Linked DNA regions of Saccharomyces cerevisiae S288C. The gene in region 1 interacts genetically with each later gene. Each region holds a gene or a part of one and is shown on either strand. Other genes may lie near its edges.

Region 1 (7,569 bases):
CATTTTAATCCAGCAATAATCTGGTTCGTTAATTATTTCAAACCCATTGATTAATGCATCTACTTTATAAATATCACTTAAACCAATTAGTGAGCCGTTTGGTTTCAATGAGTCAGCTAAGACAGAAATTAACTTTTTCGGAAACTTAATATCAGTCTGGGCTTCTGGCGTCAAATAGTGTACTGTTTCATATTTTGCGTTTTCCAAAGTTATGGACCCATCATTTAGTTTATTGATTAAAAACTGGTCCACGAACTTGACTTTCTTTGATGCAGCTTGAGCCTTAGTGTTCTCTACTAGCTCTGGCGTTGTAGTCACCGCCGGATGTATTAAAAGTAAACCAGTTTTGTATTGTGACATCGATACCTTCACTTACAGTGTATATGCTTAGATCAAATGTGATGAAAGACTTCTGCTTAGAATACCTTTTTAATATGTCATGAAATTAAATGATTACTAATCATTTCTTTTTTTTATTTTTTTTTTCCAGAAGCTTTTGAATAGTATCGGACTTATTCCGGTACCGGGATATGTCAAAAAAAGAAAAATGAGAAACGAATAGATATTTACCCAGAAAGTAATGAATGTATTTAATGAATTACTGAATTATTAAAATTAGTAATAAATAGCGGTTTATATGAAGAGCTCTATGTACGCTAGTATGGCATTACATACCTACTGCAAGTAAAAAAGGAAAAAAATTTGTGACATTTTGTAAATATGCTGCGTGAATTTGCCTAATGAGTATTTTTCCAGAAATTACAAAACACAAATAAGTAGAATGTGTTTAGTGTATTTGTAATTCATAGACTATTTATTGATGCTTATCTATTATACCTGGGGTTTCTGCTTCGTCCTCGTCCTCGTCATCATCGTCGTCGTCGTCGTCGTCGTCGTCGTCGTCGTCGTCGTCATCGTCGTCATCGTCATCATCATCGTTGTTGTTTTCGTTCTTATCTTCTGTATCTTCTTCTTCGTCGTCGTCTTCTTCCTCATCCTCATCATCGTCCTCTTCCTCGTTATTTTTTGGGTACCCACCCAATTTCATAACGATTTTGTTAACAATCTCATTCCAGTCCATCATACCCCCGAGACCAATATCACCATTTATATCCATAACTTTCTCAGACGGCTTGAAAACAGTGACCCAGGACATTTCCTCCTTTATCGTTTGTAGTTGCTTCTTTGTCATCATAGAATTAAAAGTGCTACTCACCATAGAAGGTGCCAAAAGAATGGGATAACTCGGATTCCAAGCTCTAATGACACTTGTCAGAAGATTGTCGCACAGGCCCAAAGCAATTTTTGATAATGTGTTTGCAGTTAATGGAGCTACTACCAGTATATCCGCCCAGCGACGTAGTTCTATATGAAGTACAGGATCAGTTCGTTGTTTCCATGCGTCCCATTCATCTTGGTCGGTCCATAGTTGAATATGTGGGGGTAACTCGACTACTTGAGCCATGTTGCATTGTCCTGGTGTTGGTGTCACTGGAGTTGCCGGAGTGGATTCGTACTGCGACATTTTATTTAGTTTTTCTGAAGATTTGATAATTTTCTTGGTATATCTTTGTTCGAAAAACTGTGTTGCTGATTGAGTGAGGATAACTTGAATGCTTATTCTATCACGTCCATATATTTCTTCTAGTTTTTTAATCATTGGCTTGATCTTAAATACCGATAACGAACCTGTAGCGCCAAACAACACGTGCAATTTTCCATCATCTTGAGGTAGTCTGGGATCCAAATTCTTGGAGTTCTCTCTTTTGGGGATGATGGAAGGAATGACGGACTGCTTCACTGGCGTTTCTTCCGGGGTAGAACGCACATTAATTTGGCCTGAAACATTGTTAGCTTGATCTTGTGCATCTTCCTTTCGAAGTGTAATACTGGTGGGGGCTTTGGCGGTTACCTTATTATTTTCTCTACTTATTGGCGTTGAAGTGGCCATGATTTTGTCAGGCTTCATGGTATCAACTATTTTAAGAGCACTGTCTTTTTTCTTAGGATCATAATCTTTCATTTCGTTGACGAGTGGAGACCCAGATAATTGCGTTGTTCTTGAAGTGTTGGTGTGGTTCGGTATAACTGCATGATTGCCAGGAATGGAATTTGAGACAGGAGCAGGATTACTATTTGGAGACTTGGTCCTTTCTGAGTCGTTCTTCAGCTGAGTCAGACTATCCTGCTTTTGCTGTTGCTTTAGATCACTGAAAGTGACGGCGGGGACTCTCTTCAAACCAGGCTCCGGAGTATTACTTACTACTGCGCCGGAGGTGCCGGTGGCATTCATAATAGATTTCGTAGTCGTGGTAGTAGCATTCGACAAAGTAGGGCTTATTGATTGCCTCCCTGACACGGGGGAGTTGATTATTGAATCCTTCCCCTTCGCATCCTCATGGTCCAACAAAATCTCTTTCTGTCCACGCGAAAACCTTGGACACTCTATAGACTGGTTATGGTCAGCATCTTGCTTCCCGCTAGTAGAGGCGACGGCAGTCATTGCTGTTTGCTTCTAGATCTTTCTTCCCTATTAATTTTTTCCTAACTAATATTTCTTTATATTTTATCCCGGAATATAAAGTAGTATGACAGCAAAGAAGGCCAGGCTAAAAAAAGATCTCTCCAAATGTAACTGGACGGCGCTGATAAGTGGACAAGTACAAGTGAGGGATCGTGATCCAAGAGCACTCTGTGACTTCTTCTCCTCTAATATCACCTCCCCAGAAAAGCATCGATGCCATTTTTTGCAAGAGAAAAAGTTGCGTGCGTCACTGCCCACGAGCACATGGGGTGAGTTATATAACATAAGAATATTGCTTTGACTCATGTTAAAAGCAAAAGAAAAAATAATAATGATCATTAGAGATACATCAAAGACGATCATGGCATTAACCCAGGGTACGTGTGTTAGATATGATAGGGTACCCCGCGCGTATAAGTTACGCCTTGAATGATATAACACGTTAAAGTTTCTAGATCACGTGAATCATTACCATTTTTTAGGTCATCCTACGGATAATGGCGAAACCACATAATTGCTTTGTAGATCTCTTTTTATGCTGGATGGATGGCCCTCTGGAATGCATCCTTCACGAACACAATTTATGAAACCTCAGGTTTGATGCTCCGGAAAGCCTATTTCTCACGTTTTCCGGCACTTAATGCGCATATAAAAACATAGTCTCTACGTTACGAGGATTTATCATAGAACCCAAATCAGCAGTAATAAATTTCCACGGTCAAATTAAACTCTTGTCGTTGATATGGGTGTAGTGTGATGGTGGTGACCACTATTTCGCCTTTATTAGTTATTTATATGAGTTAGCCCTCCGAAGAACTCATCCTTGTTAGCTCAGTTGGTAGAGCGTTCGGCTTTTAAGCGCATTTGCTTAAGCAAGGATACCGAAATGTCAGGGGTTCGAGCCCCCTATGAGGAGTTCTTTACTTTTTTAGATTCGGCGTTCAATGCTAAAGAAAAAAAATGAAAATAAGTTTCAATTAATAGTGAAAGAAAAGGAAGGAAGTTAGAACTGAAATGCGTAGACTACCTCCCCCAAATTTTTTCTTGTTTGGTTGCATTATTTCATGAATTCAACTAAAAGGCTGAAAATGTCAACAACCTTTCATGATTATGACTTGGAAGAGCCATTAACCTCAAATGCCAGACCACTAAAGAACTCCGTTATTACAATCCGAGTAATAAAATCTTTCCCATATAGAAACGTCAAGAACATAGTGCTGCACGATTACGATCTTGCTGATAAAACTGCAAAGGACCTGTTCAATGACGTTTTGAACAAAATTCAAAATGAAGGTTCATTCAGACCATTCCGTAATGTTAAGTTTGATACTTTAAAGATATACACGCACGCACATGGTTCCAAGACGGTTAATCTCGTGATCAATTTTGACCACGATGACGACTGGACTTTAGACATAGAGAATGACAAAAAAAAGCTGTTCGAGTATGGCATTGAGAATGAAACCGAAATTTCGCTTTTCAACAAAGAGGATTACCTAAGGTTTAAAGAAAACCCTGAAGAAAAATGGTGAGATGTTGTTTGGCTTATGGCCTTCATTAATAAGTAAGTGCTATGAATATATTACATATATATATATATATATGTTGTGTACGAGAGTATACTCGTATGTAAATTAACATCAAATGTGTATGTGGAAATGCAGAAGAGAGCAAACTCTCCTTTAAAAAACAACCTGGTTCCTATAAAAAATGTCTTCTTCCATAGTGCCAAATGTATAGTTGCTGAACTCATAATGAGCTTCTTTTATTGTTTCATCAGAATGAGAACTATTTTGATGGTGATGGTGATGATGGCGACGATGGTGACGGCGATGGTGGCGGGAATGTTGGATATCGTTTATGTTGATGAGGGATTCGCGGATAGTCCCCTTTGAGTCGATCTCCCTCTTCATCACGGCTTGGTTAAACTTCAACTTCCTGGGGAATTGTTCCTTCTTTTCGTTCATAAGGTCTTCAGAATCTTCATCTATGGAGGAAATTTTAGTGCATGTAGAATGCTGGTCGAAAATGGAAGACGTGTGAGAATCAACAGACGATGGGCATGAAATGTCTTCTAATTTCACCAAAGCGTTGTCATTGCTCTCTATAGAAGCGTTAATCTCATCCACCTCCTCGGTTACCCAGCATTCCGTATTTTTCTTTAAAGCAGATTTTAGATTTTTTGTTTGTTTCTGGTCAATTTGGTTCTGGACCGGCGATATTTCGTTTTCATTACTATCTATGTTAGTCAAATCTGGACCGTACAACACCGTTACATCGGTTTCTTTGTTCCAGTTGATGGACAGTGGATTGGATTTGGAGTTCTGTAAACCATAGTGATTTATGGACCAACGCCTCCAGAGGCAATGATGTAGCCTAACGAGGTACATGTTGTAATCTAGCACGTCCTCTGAAGAGCAACTTGGTAATCGAAGTAGTTTATGTTTGCGCATCTTCAATAGTAGTGTCCATGAAGCCGATATTTCCAAGCTTGCATCATTAAATTCATGATGGAAATAGTCAATCGCAGGCTTGTTGTAGTTGGTCATGTTATCCAGTAACATTATATTCTGGTACGAAATTATTGTATCGTCCAAACTAGTCATTTTCTGTATATGTATCTATTTGTGTGTGTATGAACACTTGTGTGTAGTATCTGAATGCGATAAGAGAAAGGGCCAAAGTTGAACTGAATGCAAAAAGTAAAACCTATAAAACCGTGTTGACCATACGCTTTCATATATATATATATATATGTTTGTTTTTGCTAAGACCCGGTAACTGTACTTTTTCTGCAGTCATCCAAGGGAAGACAAAAGAAGAAAGAAAAAACAAGATTAATGTCCCCAGGTTTTTTCTTTTCCTGGCGGAAAAAGCTCAAATCTAACATTTCCCCGCGGGGGTTTCTTTGTAAAGAGTATCGAGTCGGAAACGAAAAAAAAAAAAAGATGAGAAAATGAATTTTTCCGGTCGCCTAAAGATAGAGGTACCAGCGGAAAAAATGCAGCAAAAGCAAAATACCCCATTCAAGTTCCCCCTGTCTCGCCCCTCTCACGCTTCACTGTCCCCCGCTTTCGGTTTTTCCGGCTACGGCATTTCTGTTGAAAGTTGCCGGAAAAACCCCAAAAAGCATAAAAAAAAAGAGCGGGGGGAAGAAAAAAAGATTCCTTTCTATCTTTTCCTTCCCCGGCCTATTCGGGTACTCGCTTCCGGGTCCGCTGTCGTTTATAATGATTAGTGCAGAGAGCTTTCTTCTCTTAGTTTTTCATGTGGTAAAGGCAATGCCATTTAGAAGGATACTACGTGGGGTTCAAAACCGTGAATACGTTGTCTATCGTGTTATGTATGTTCTGAGTTTCTTTTTGTCATTCTACTAGTTTATGGACTGGGACTATGTATCTTGCAGTATGATTTCGTCAGGAAGCTTGTCATAGCAAGGCCTGAACAAATCGTACGTTAAAATAAAAATGAGCACCAATTCGAGTCACTGATGCCTACTGCTCAATCCAACCATCTAGTTCTGCAAAGATACTTACTCCGCATAATTAAAAAAATAAGGTATTTTAAAGTTGTGTAGTGACGAATGTAGTGACGCGGAAACGTTTTACTCGTCAATGGACATTTGCGAATGTGTCCGATAAATAGTTGAGGCTTTTCCTGCATTCTGTCAAGAAGGGTATGTGTATGAACATGCAAATGACACTGTAAAATGATTCATTACCCTGATTATGGAGTGATTTTCTTTCCTTTTTTTTTTTACATTTAGTTTCATTATTATGCAAATTAGAGGGTATACAGTTGAGATTTTAACACTTTGAATTAAAAAGTGTTACAGAGGAAACCGACGCAAAAGGCTTGGTGACGCAAACTTTTCCATCTTTATTTCACCTCTTCAGACGGTCCTAAGACCTTTTGAACGTATCAATATAGTTTTATCATCTGTTCTCTGTTGTTCTCCGTTACTAAGATATTAGTCAGCTCTTGAAATTTCACACCCCTATTTATTTGTCTTAGCGTCCAACCCCTCTCAACCCTTTTCCATTTCTTGTATAAAGGTAGTTAATTAGGTAACGCTGCTCTTACCATCACTACAGTGCTTACGAGAATTTACCCAAACCCTGCGCAAGATAAATAAGAAATGTCGAAACAGTGGGCGAGTGGTACAAACGGAGCTTTCAAAAGACAGGTTTCGTCCTTCAGAGAAACAATCTCTAAGCAACACCCAATTTATAAGCCAGCAAAGGGAAGATATTGGTTGTATGTTTCACTTGCATGCCCATGGGCCCATAGAACACTAATTACGAGGGCTTTGAAGGGATTAACCTCTGTTATAGGATGTAGCGTAGTCCATTGGCACCTTGACGAGAAAGGATGGAGATTTTTGGACATGGAAAAGCAATTGGAGGACAGTGAAGATTTTTTGGAACATTGGCACGATGTTGCAGGTGGTATTAGAACTGCTAAAGAGGATTCCAGCAAGAGCTTCGCCGAGATCAAGAATGACAGTCAAAGATTCATGGTTGATGCTACCAATGAGCCTCACTATGGATACAAGAGAATCAGTGACTTATATTACAAGAGCGATCCTCAATACTCGGCAAGGTTCACCGTCCCAGTCCTGTGGGACTTAGAAACCCAAACAATTGTTAACAACGAAAGTAGCGAAATTATAAGGATTTTGAACTCTAGTGCGTTCGATGAATTTGTCGACGACGATCACAAGAAAACGGACCTTGTTCCTGCTCAGTTGAAAACACAGATCGATGACTTCAATTCTTGGGTTTACGACAGCATCAACAATGGTGTATACAAGACCGGATTCGCAGAGAAAGCAGAAGTTTACGAAAGTGAAGTCAACAACGTATTTGAACATTTGGACAAAGTGGAGAAAATCCTGAGTGACAAATATTCCAAATTGAAGGCCAAATACGGTGAAGAAGATAGACAAAAAATCTTGGGTGAGTTCTTCACTGTGGGTGATCAATTAACAGAAGCTGACATTAGATTGTATACTACCGTCATAAGATTCGATCCTGTGTACGTCC
Region 2 (7,419 bases), on another chromosome or scaffold:
TCTTCAAATGCTTTACCAGTTGCTAGAGCTAACCTCAAATGGAAATGAGCCAAGTATTAAGGCTTTATCTAAGATCATGGAAGACAGCGCTCAATTTTTCCAATTGGAATGGTCGGGAAATACGAAGCCTATGGAAGCCTTATTGGATAGTTTTTTTAGGTTTATTTCGAATCCAAATTTCTCACCTGTGATTCGCTCAGAATCGGTGAAATGTATAAATACAGTGATCCCGCTACAAACACAAAGTTTTATTGTGAGATTAGATAAATTCTTAGAAATTATTTTTCAGTTGGCACAAAACGACGAAAACGACCTAGTTAGGGCACAGATTTGCATTAGTTTTAGTTTCTTATTGGAATTCAGACCAGATAAGCTGGTTTCCCATTTAGATGGTATTGTACAATTCATGTTGCATTTGATCACCACTGTAAATGAGGAAAAAGTGGCTATTGAAGCCTGCGAGTTTTTGCACGCCTTTGCAACGAGCCCAAATATTCCTGAACATATCTTACAACCATATGTTAAGGATATCGTGCCAATATTATTATCGAAAATGGTCTATAACGAAGAATCCATCGTTCTCCTGGAAGCTTCTAATGATGATGATGCATTCTTGGAGGATAAAGATGAGGACATCAAGCCCATTGCACCCCGTATTGTGAAAAAGAAAGAGGCAGGAAATGGAGAGGATGCAGATGACAACGAAGATGATGATGATGATGATGATGATGAAGATGGCGATGTTGATACGCAATGGAATTTGAGAAAATGTTCCGCGGCAACGCTAGATGTAATGACGAATATTTTACCTCATCAAGTGATGGATATAGCGTTCCCATTTTTAAGAGAACATTTGGGTTCTGATAGGTGGTTTATTAGAGAAGCTACTATATTAGCACTGGGGGCCATGGCAGAAGGTGGAATGAAGTATTTTAATGATGGCTTACCAGCACTAATACCATTTTTAGTGGAACAATTGAACGATAAGTGGGCACCAGTGAGGAAAATGACATGTTGGACATTAAGTAGGTTTTCACCATGGATATTACAAGACCATACTGAGTTTTTAATTCCAGTCTTAGAACCTATAATAAACACATTAATGGACAAGAAAAAGGATGTTCAAGAGGCGGCTATTAGTAGTGTAGCAGTATTTATTGAAAACGCCGACTCCGAATTGGTTGAAACTTTATTTTATAGTCAATTATTGACGAGTTTTGATAAATGTTTGAAATATTACAAGAAAAAGAATTTAATTATATTATATGATGCCATCGGCAGGTTTGCTGAAAAATGTGCATTAGACGAGACAGCGATGCAAATAATTTTGCCGCCCTTAATTGAAAAATGGGCTTTGCTGTCAGACAGTGACAAGGAGCTGTGGCCACTTTTAGAATGTCTTTCCTGCGTGGCATCATCACTGGGGGAAAGATTCATGCCTATGGCACCAGAAGTGTACAACAGAGCCTTTAGAATTCTATGTCATTGTGTCGAATTGGAAGCCAAATCACATCAAGACCCGACAATAGTAGTGCCTGAGAAGGACTTCATCATCACCTCATTAGATTTGATTGATGGATTGGTACAAGGTCTTGGCGCTCACTCGCAGGATCTATTGTTCCCTCAAGGGACGAAGGATTTAACGATATTGAAAATCATGCTAGAATGTTTGCAGGACCCTGTCCATGAAGTAAGACAAAGCTGCTTTGCCCTGTTGGGAGATATTGTATATTTTTTCAATTCGGAACTGGTAATTGGTAATTTGGAGGATTTCTTGAAGTTGATTGGTACGGAAATAATGCATAACGACGATAGTGATGGTACTCCTGCTGTGATAAATGCGATATGGGCGCTTGGTTTGATAAGCGAACGTATCGATTTGAATACTTATATCATTGATATGTCTAGAATCATTCTAGATTTATTTACCACCAACACACAAATCGTAGACAGCTCTGTGATGGAGAACTTGTCTGTGACCATCGGAAAAATGGGGCTAACACACCCTGAAGTTTTCAGTTCTGGCGCATTTGCCAATGATTCCAACTGGAATAAATGGTGTTTGTCCGTTAACGCATTGGACGATGTAGAGGAAAAGAGTAGCGCGTACATGGGTTTCCTGAAAATTATCAATTTGACCAGCACGGAGGTCACAATGAGTAATGATACCATTCATAAAATTGTTACGGGCCTTTCAAGCAATGTAGAGGCGAATGTTTTTGCGCAAGAGATCTACACCTTTTTGATGAACCATTCTGCCCAAATTTCTGCAATAAATTTCACGCCCGATGAAATCTCCTTCTTACAACAGTTCACCAGCTAAAATTTTTTTTACTGTATCCTACGTGTTTGTATAGTTTGGTACATTATTACTAGTGATATATACATAGCACAATTCGGAAAAAAAAAAAAGGTGCATAACTGCAAATGGATCACATAGAAATGAAAATAGTTATAAAAGTTACATATAATTAATAGACGTATTACATACATGCTTAAAGTGACATGTTAAAGTTTTTTTTTTTATCTCCTTGTGAAAAAAAATAACACTGAGGGGAAGAAAGGCAACTGCAAAGAACAGAAGGGGAGATTATTCTTTTTTTTTTTTTCATTCTTGAATACTTTTGCGGGTTCTCTTAGAATAGCATATCCATGGTGCAGCATATACATAATGCAGCCAGACATGCAGCCAGACAACCTTCGTTACCCCTCTGGGGTGGTTGTTGTTGGACGTAGACTGGTTGTTGATGGCCTTGTTGGTTATATCCCTGCTGGTTATATCCCTGCTGATTGTAGCCCTGCTGATTGTACCCTTGCTGATTGTACCCTTGCTGATTGTATCCTTGTTGGTTATAGTATCCGGGATGCTGCTGCTGCTGCTGGTAGTACTGCTGCTGTTGTTGGGGTGGGTATCCACGCTCCTGAGTTTTGTTCTGATGAGCGGATGAAGGTGGCGGGTTGGAGGGACGGGAATATTGGCTCTTCTCGCCGGCGGTTCCGCCGTAGTAATCGTTAGCAGACATGGTGGTTGTGTGTAGGACTATCTTAAGCTTACTAGTGAGTCTCTTCAATGCTTGTCTTGAGAAGAGAAAGAGCCAGAGGGGGATTTTGGAAAAAGCCAAATTGACATACTTTTATAGCTTCGGCCGCAGCAGAATGGCTGAAGAGTAAGAGGGCGCAGAGCGGCTGAGCGAACCCGTCGGGCGCGACCAGCCGATAGTAGCACAGTAGAATTTTAGAAGCATTCGTTATCAGGCCGATGTGTGCAATTATTGTAGGTCTGCAGTAACGTAGCTCTACTTTTTCGCAGTCCCGTAGTTTTAAAACTTTTAGTTAATCAGGTGTGAGGTGGAATGAGCGATGGCACTATGTCGGGCAAGGCAGCTTAGCGCACAAGTTAAGCTGGTGCGCTCAGAAGTTGGAGGGTTCGCTAAATAGGTTATGCAAACATGCAAGTCAAGTGAGTCGCCATTGGCTCGCTTGGTGATTAGGTGACTCTAATACATCGTCCAGGACCCGTTATTACCGTTCACGTGCTAAAAAAGGATCGCGTCCTTTTGCGGAGGGATGAAAAAGATAGTGAAAAAATAACAATGAAGAAAAAAAAAATATAGAAGAATCATCAAAATAAATTACGTGTACTTGGTGTTGCTTATACGTTAAAAGCAGAATTGCCCTACTTTTTAATATCCTCGTGCTGCTCAAGGTATCATATCTACTTCGAGACAAATCAGTGTAGGTAGGTCAGTAAAATTATATTTTCAGTATGCTGCTTACCAAAAGGTTTTCAAAGCTGTTCAAGCTGACGTTCATAGTTTTGATATTGTGCGGGCTGTTCGTCATTACAAACAAATACATGGATGAGAACACGTCGGTCAAGGAGTACAAGGAGTACTTAGACAGATATGTCCAGAGTTACTCCAATAAGTATTCATCTTCCTCAGACGCCGCCAGCGCTGACGATTCAACCCCATTGAGGGACAATGATGAGGCAGGCAATGAAAAGTTGAAAAGCTTCTACAACAACGTTTTCAACTTTCTAATGGTTGATTCGCCCAAGGGGAGTACTGCAAAGCAGTATAACGAGGCATGCTTATTAAAGGGTGACATTGGAGACCGTCCCGACCACTACAAAGATCTTTACAAGTTGTCTGCTAAGGAGCTGTCCAAGTGTTTGGAACTATCTCCGGATGAAGTAGCAAGTCTGACCAAAAGCCATAAGGACTACGTAGAGCATATAGCGACTCTCGTCTCGCCAAAGGGTACGTACAAAGGGTCCGGTATAGCCACAGTGGGTGGCGGGAAGTTCTCCCTTATGGCATTTTTGATCATTAAGACTTTAAGGAATATGGGGACCACGTTACCTGTGGAAGTCCTGATCCCTCCTGGTGATGAAGGTGAAACTGAGTTTTGTAACAAGATTCTGCCTAAGTATAACTCCAAGTGTATTTACGTTTCAGATATTCTACCACGAGAGACGATTGAAAAATTTGTTTTCAAAGGATACCAGTTTAAATCATTGGCCCTTATCGCTTCTAGTTTTGAAAACCTGCTCTTACTGGATGCTGACAACTTCCCCATCAAACCCCTAGACAACATATTCAATGAAGAACCATATGTGTCTACGGGCTTGGTCATGTGGCCCGATTTCTGGAGGCGTACAACTCACCCATTGTATTACGACATTGCAGGTATTGCTGTGGACAAGAAAAAGAGAGTTCGCAATTCTCGAGACGATATCACCCCACCTGCTGTTTACACAAAGGATTTGAAGGATTTGAGTGACGTCCCGCTAAGTGACCTAGACGGAACAATACCCGACGTGTCTACGGAATCCGGCCAACTGATGATAAACAAAACGAAGCATTTGGCTACGGCTCTTCTATCTTTATTCTACAACGTCAATGGACCAACGTGGTACTACCCAATATTTTCTCAAAAAGCTGCTGGTGAAGGTGATAAGGAAACTTTCATTGCCGCTGCAAACTTTTATGGTCTATCATTTTACCAAGTTAGAACAAGGACAGGCGTTGAAGGCTACCATGATGAAGACGGGTTTCATGGTGTAGCAATGTTACAACACGACTTTGTGCAGGATTATGGCCGTTACTTAAATGCTATGGAGAGCATTGGCAACAAATACGGTGGCACTAAATCAGCTGATGCAATCAAGTTTGACAAAAACTATTCCCTCGAAAAATACACCGAAGAATTTTTCGACAACGAGGACTTAAATGCCAAGAATCATGTAGATGTTATGTTCATCCATTCAAACTTCCCAAAGTTTGACCCATACGATTTATCTAAAAGCAATTTTTTGACTACGAATGGTAAACCTGCTCGTTCATATACGGCCTTAAAAAAGGTAAAAAATTACGATATTGAACTAGAGAATTTCAAGGTTTTAAACGAATATGTTTGTGTTAATAAGAATCCTTTCAAATATCTCGATGACCTTTTAGGGCAGGATAAAACGGAATGGAAAAGAGTGTGTGGTTACATCACCGATAGATTAGCATTTTTAGAATCTACTCATGATAAGGCGATTGCCGGTAAATAATATGCAACGGGTCGGACTATAGTTTGGACAACTTCCATTGGCGTTTTCTACATTCTTATTACTATTCCTTACATAGTTATGTTTATTTATCTTCCAGTTATGTAAATTTTTTCCTTCACAATCCATATAAAATGACTTTACTACAGATGTATAAATATGCAGTCCCGGGTGTATTTGAGAATCGAGACTACGTCATACCGGTAAGTGGGACTGCGTTTTGAAAAAAAATAAAGAAGTACTTTCGGCAGGATATTTGCCAATGTGTACATATCCCCTCAGTGAAAAAGCTCGAATCAAATAAAAGAAAAAACCTATATATTGGAAAGAAGCAAAATTTTCAAATTAAACGCAAAACAACTGAAGAAAATTAGAGATGGCTATTGTTATAAACAAAAGAAACGTGAGAGTCTTGGTAATAACTAATTTACTGCTCATTGTTGTGTTTTTTGTGTTAAGGAATTCGAATGCTAGCGTCAACGAAAGTATTACTACTCACCATCCTGATTCATTGGTGACGTTTGACAATTCAGGAAATGCACCTGGCACTCACCAATCTGTCCATGATACAGTAAATACACAAGATAAGGAAGCCGAAGAAGTTGATAAAAATAGTGGGGACGCTGAATTTGATGCCGCTGCAGAATACAACAAAATAATGGAACAGTCACCCATGATTGTATTTAGCAAGACTGGCTGCCCATATAGCAAAAAACTGAAAGCTTTGTTGACTAATTCGTACACGTTTTCTCCATCTTACTACGTTGTAGAATTGGATAGGCACGAACACACAAAAGAACTACAAGACCAGATTGAAAAAGTCACTGGTAGGAGAACAGTCCCAAACGTTATCATCGGTGGTACTTCCAGAGGTGGTTATACTGAGATAGCAGAGTTACATAAAAATGATGAACTTCTAGACTCTTTCAAAAAATGGAGCGATGGGGCGTTTACTGTAAAAGCTAATTCGCAATCTGAGAGTGCCTAGATCAGATTATAAACTGAGAGTTATTCTTCTTCTTCTCCCACAGTAGCGAAAGAGGATATTTAGGTAGTATACAGATTTAAATGTAGTAAGGAAAAAAATTAAATATTGGCCATCTGTTTTAGGCATTTCATGTGGACAACATAAGCCTTTTGGACTGTTTAAAGTAGGTTAACGTAGAGCAGAAAAATATGAGAAGAAGCCTGTAATTTGTATAGTCAAGCATATATATTACATGAGTTTGGTGATCAGCTTAATTTTTCAGTATTCAAAAAAATGCTTCCAATCGGATTTGAACCGATGATCTCCACATTACTAGTGTGGCGCCTTACCAACTTGGCCATAGAAGCAGTTTTTGATGTGAGAGTCGCGTAGCGAATTTGCTTATACAAATGTTAAGGTAACTTCAGATCTAAACTCAAACTTGTATTTTCCTCTATATTTATCTCATCTTGGATTGTGGTTTCCTAGTGTTGGTATAAAAATCAACTATCGTCTATCAACCAATAGTTATACTATCAATATATTATCATATACGGTGTTAGATGATAGACGGTATTTGATTTTTATTCCAACACGAATGATTGTTACTTGATTTGTTGATGAGAATAAATCTTTAGCCCACAAATTTTCGTATTCAAGGAGAGACAAAATGAGGCCGCCACTTACAGAGTATCACAAATCTGAGATAATCTATAAAAACCACAGCTACACCAGGACAGCATACACATATACATCAACACTAATCTAGATAGCCTCGCTTCTTAAGTTAATTTTCAGAGATAGAAAAGACTTAATAGTACAAGGATCCGTATTAATTGCGTTTTTAGGCCACTTAACCTCATAATGATATATCCCTTATTCAGGATATGTATCC

The links. A genetic interaction does not mean that the proteins touch.
Region 2: mutations in YKR075C (region 1) and MNN2 together harm fitness more than expected from each alone (negative genetic interaction), as found in Saccharomyces cerevisiae (2 studies listed by BioGRID).

What each region holds. Positions count from the first base shown.
Region 1 is NC_001143.9:575,621-583,189, forward strand, and holds YKR075C (uncharacterized protein), read right to left. Parts: upstream 5,131-7,569; coding exon 4,207-5,130; downstream 1-4,206. Other genes in the region: electron carrier DRE2, read right to left, coding at 1-360; phosphopantothenoylcysteine decarboxylase complex subunit SIS2, read right to left, coding at 815-2,503; YKR073C (uncharacterized protein), read right to left, coding at 2,567-2,887; AIM29 (Aim29p), read left to right, coding at 3,589-4,056; ECM4 (S-glutathionyl-(chloro)hydroquinone reductase), read left to right, coding at 6,663-7,569.
Region 2 is NC_001134.8:265,851-273,269, reverse strand, and holds MNN2 (alpha-1,2-mannosyltransferase MNN2), read left to right. Parts: upstream 1-3,766; coding exon 3,767-5,560; downstream 5,561-7,419. Other genes in the region: KAP104 (Kap104p), read left to right, coding at 1-2,323; cysteine-rich palmitoylated domain-containing protein CPP1, read right to left, coding at 2,637-3,023; glutathione-disulfide reductase GRX7, read left to right, coding at 5,934-6,545; YBR013C (uncharacterized protein), read left to right, coding at 7,389-7,419. UniProt on the Saccharomyces cerevisiae protein: Alpha-1,2-mannosyltransferase, responsible for addition of the first alpha-1,2-linked mannose to form the branches on the mannan backbone of oligosaccharides.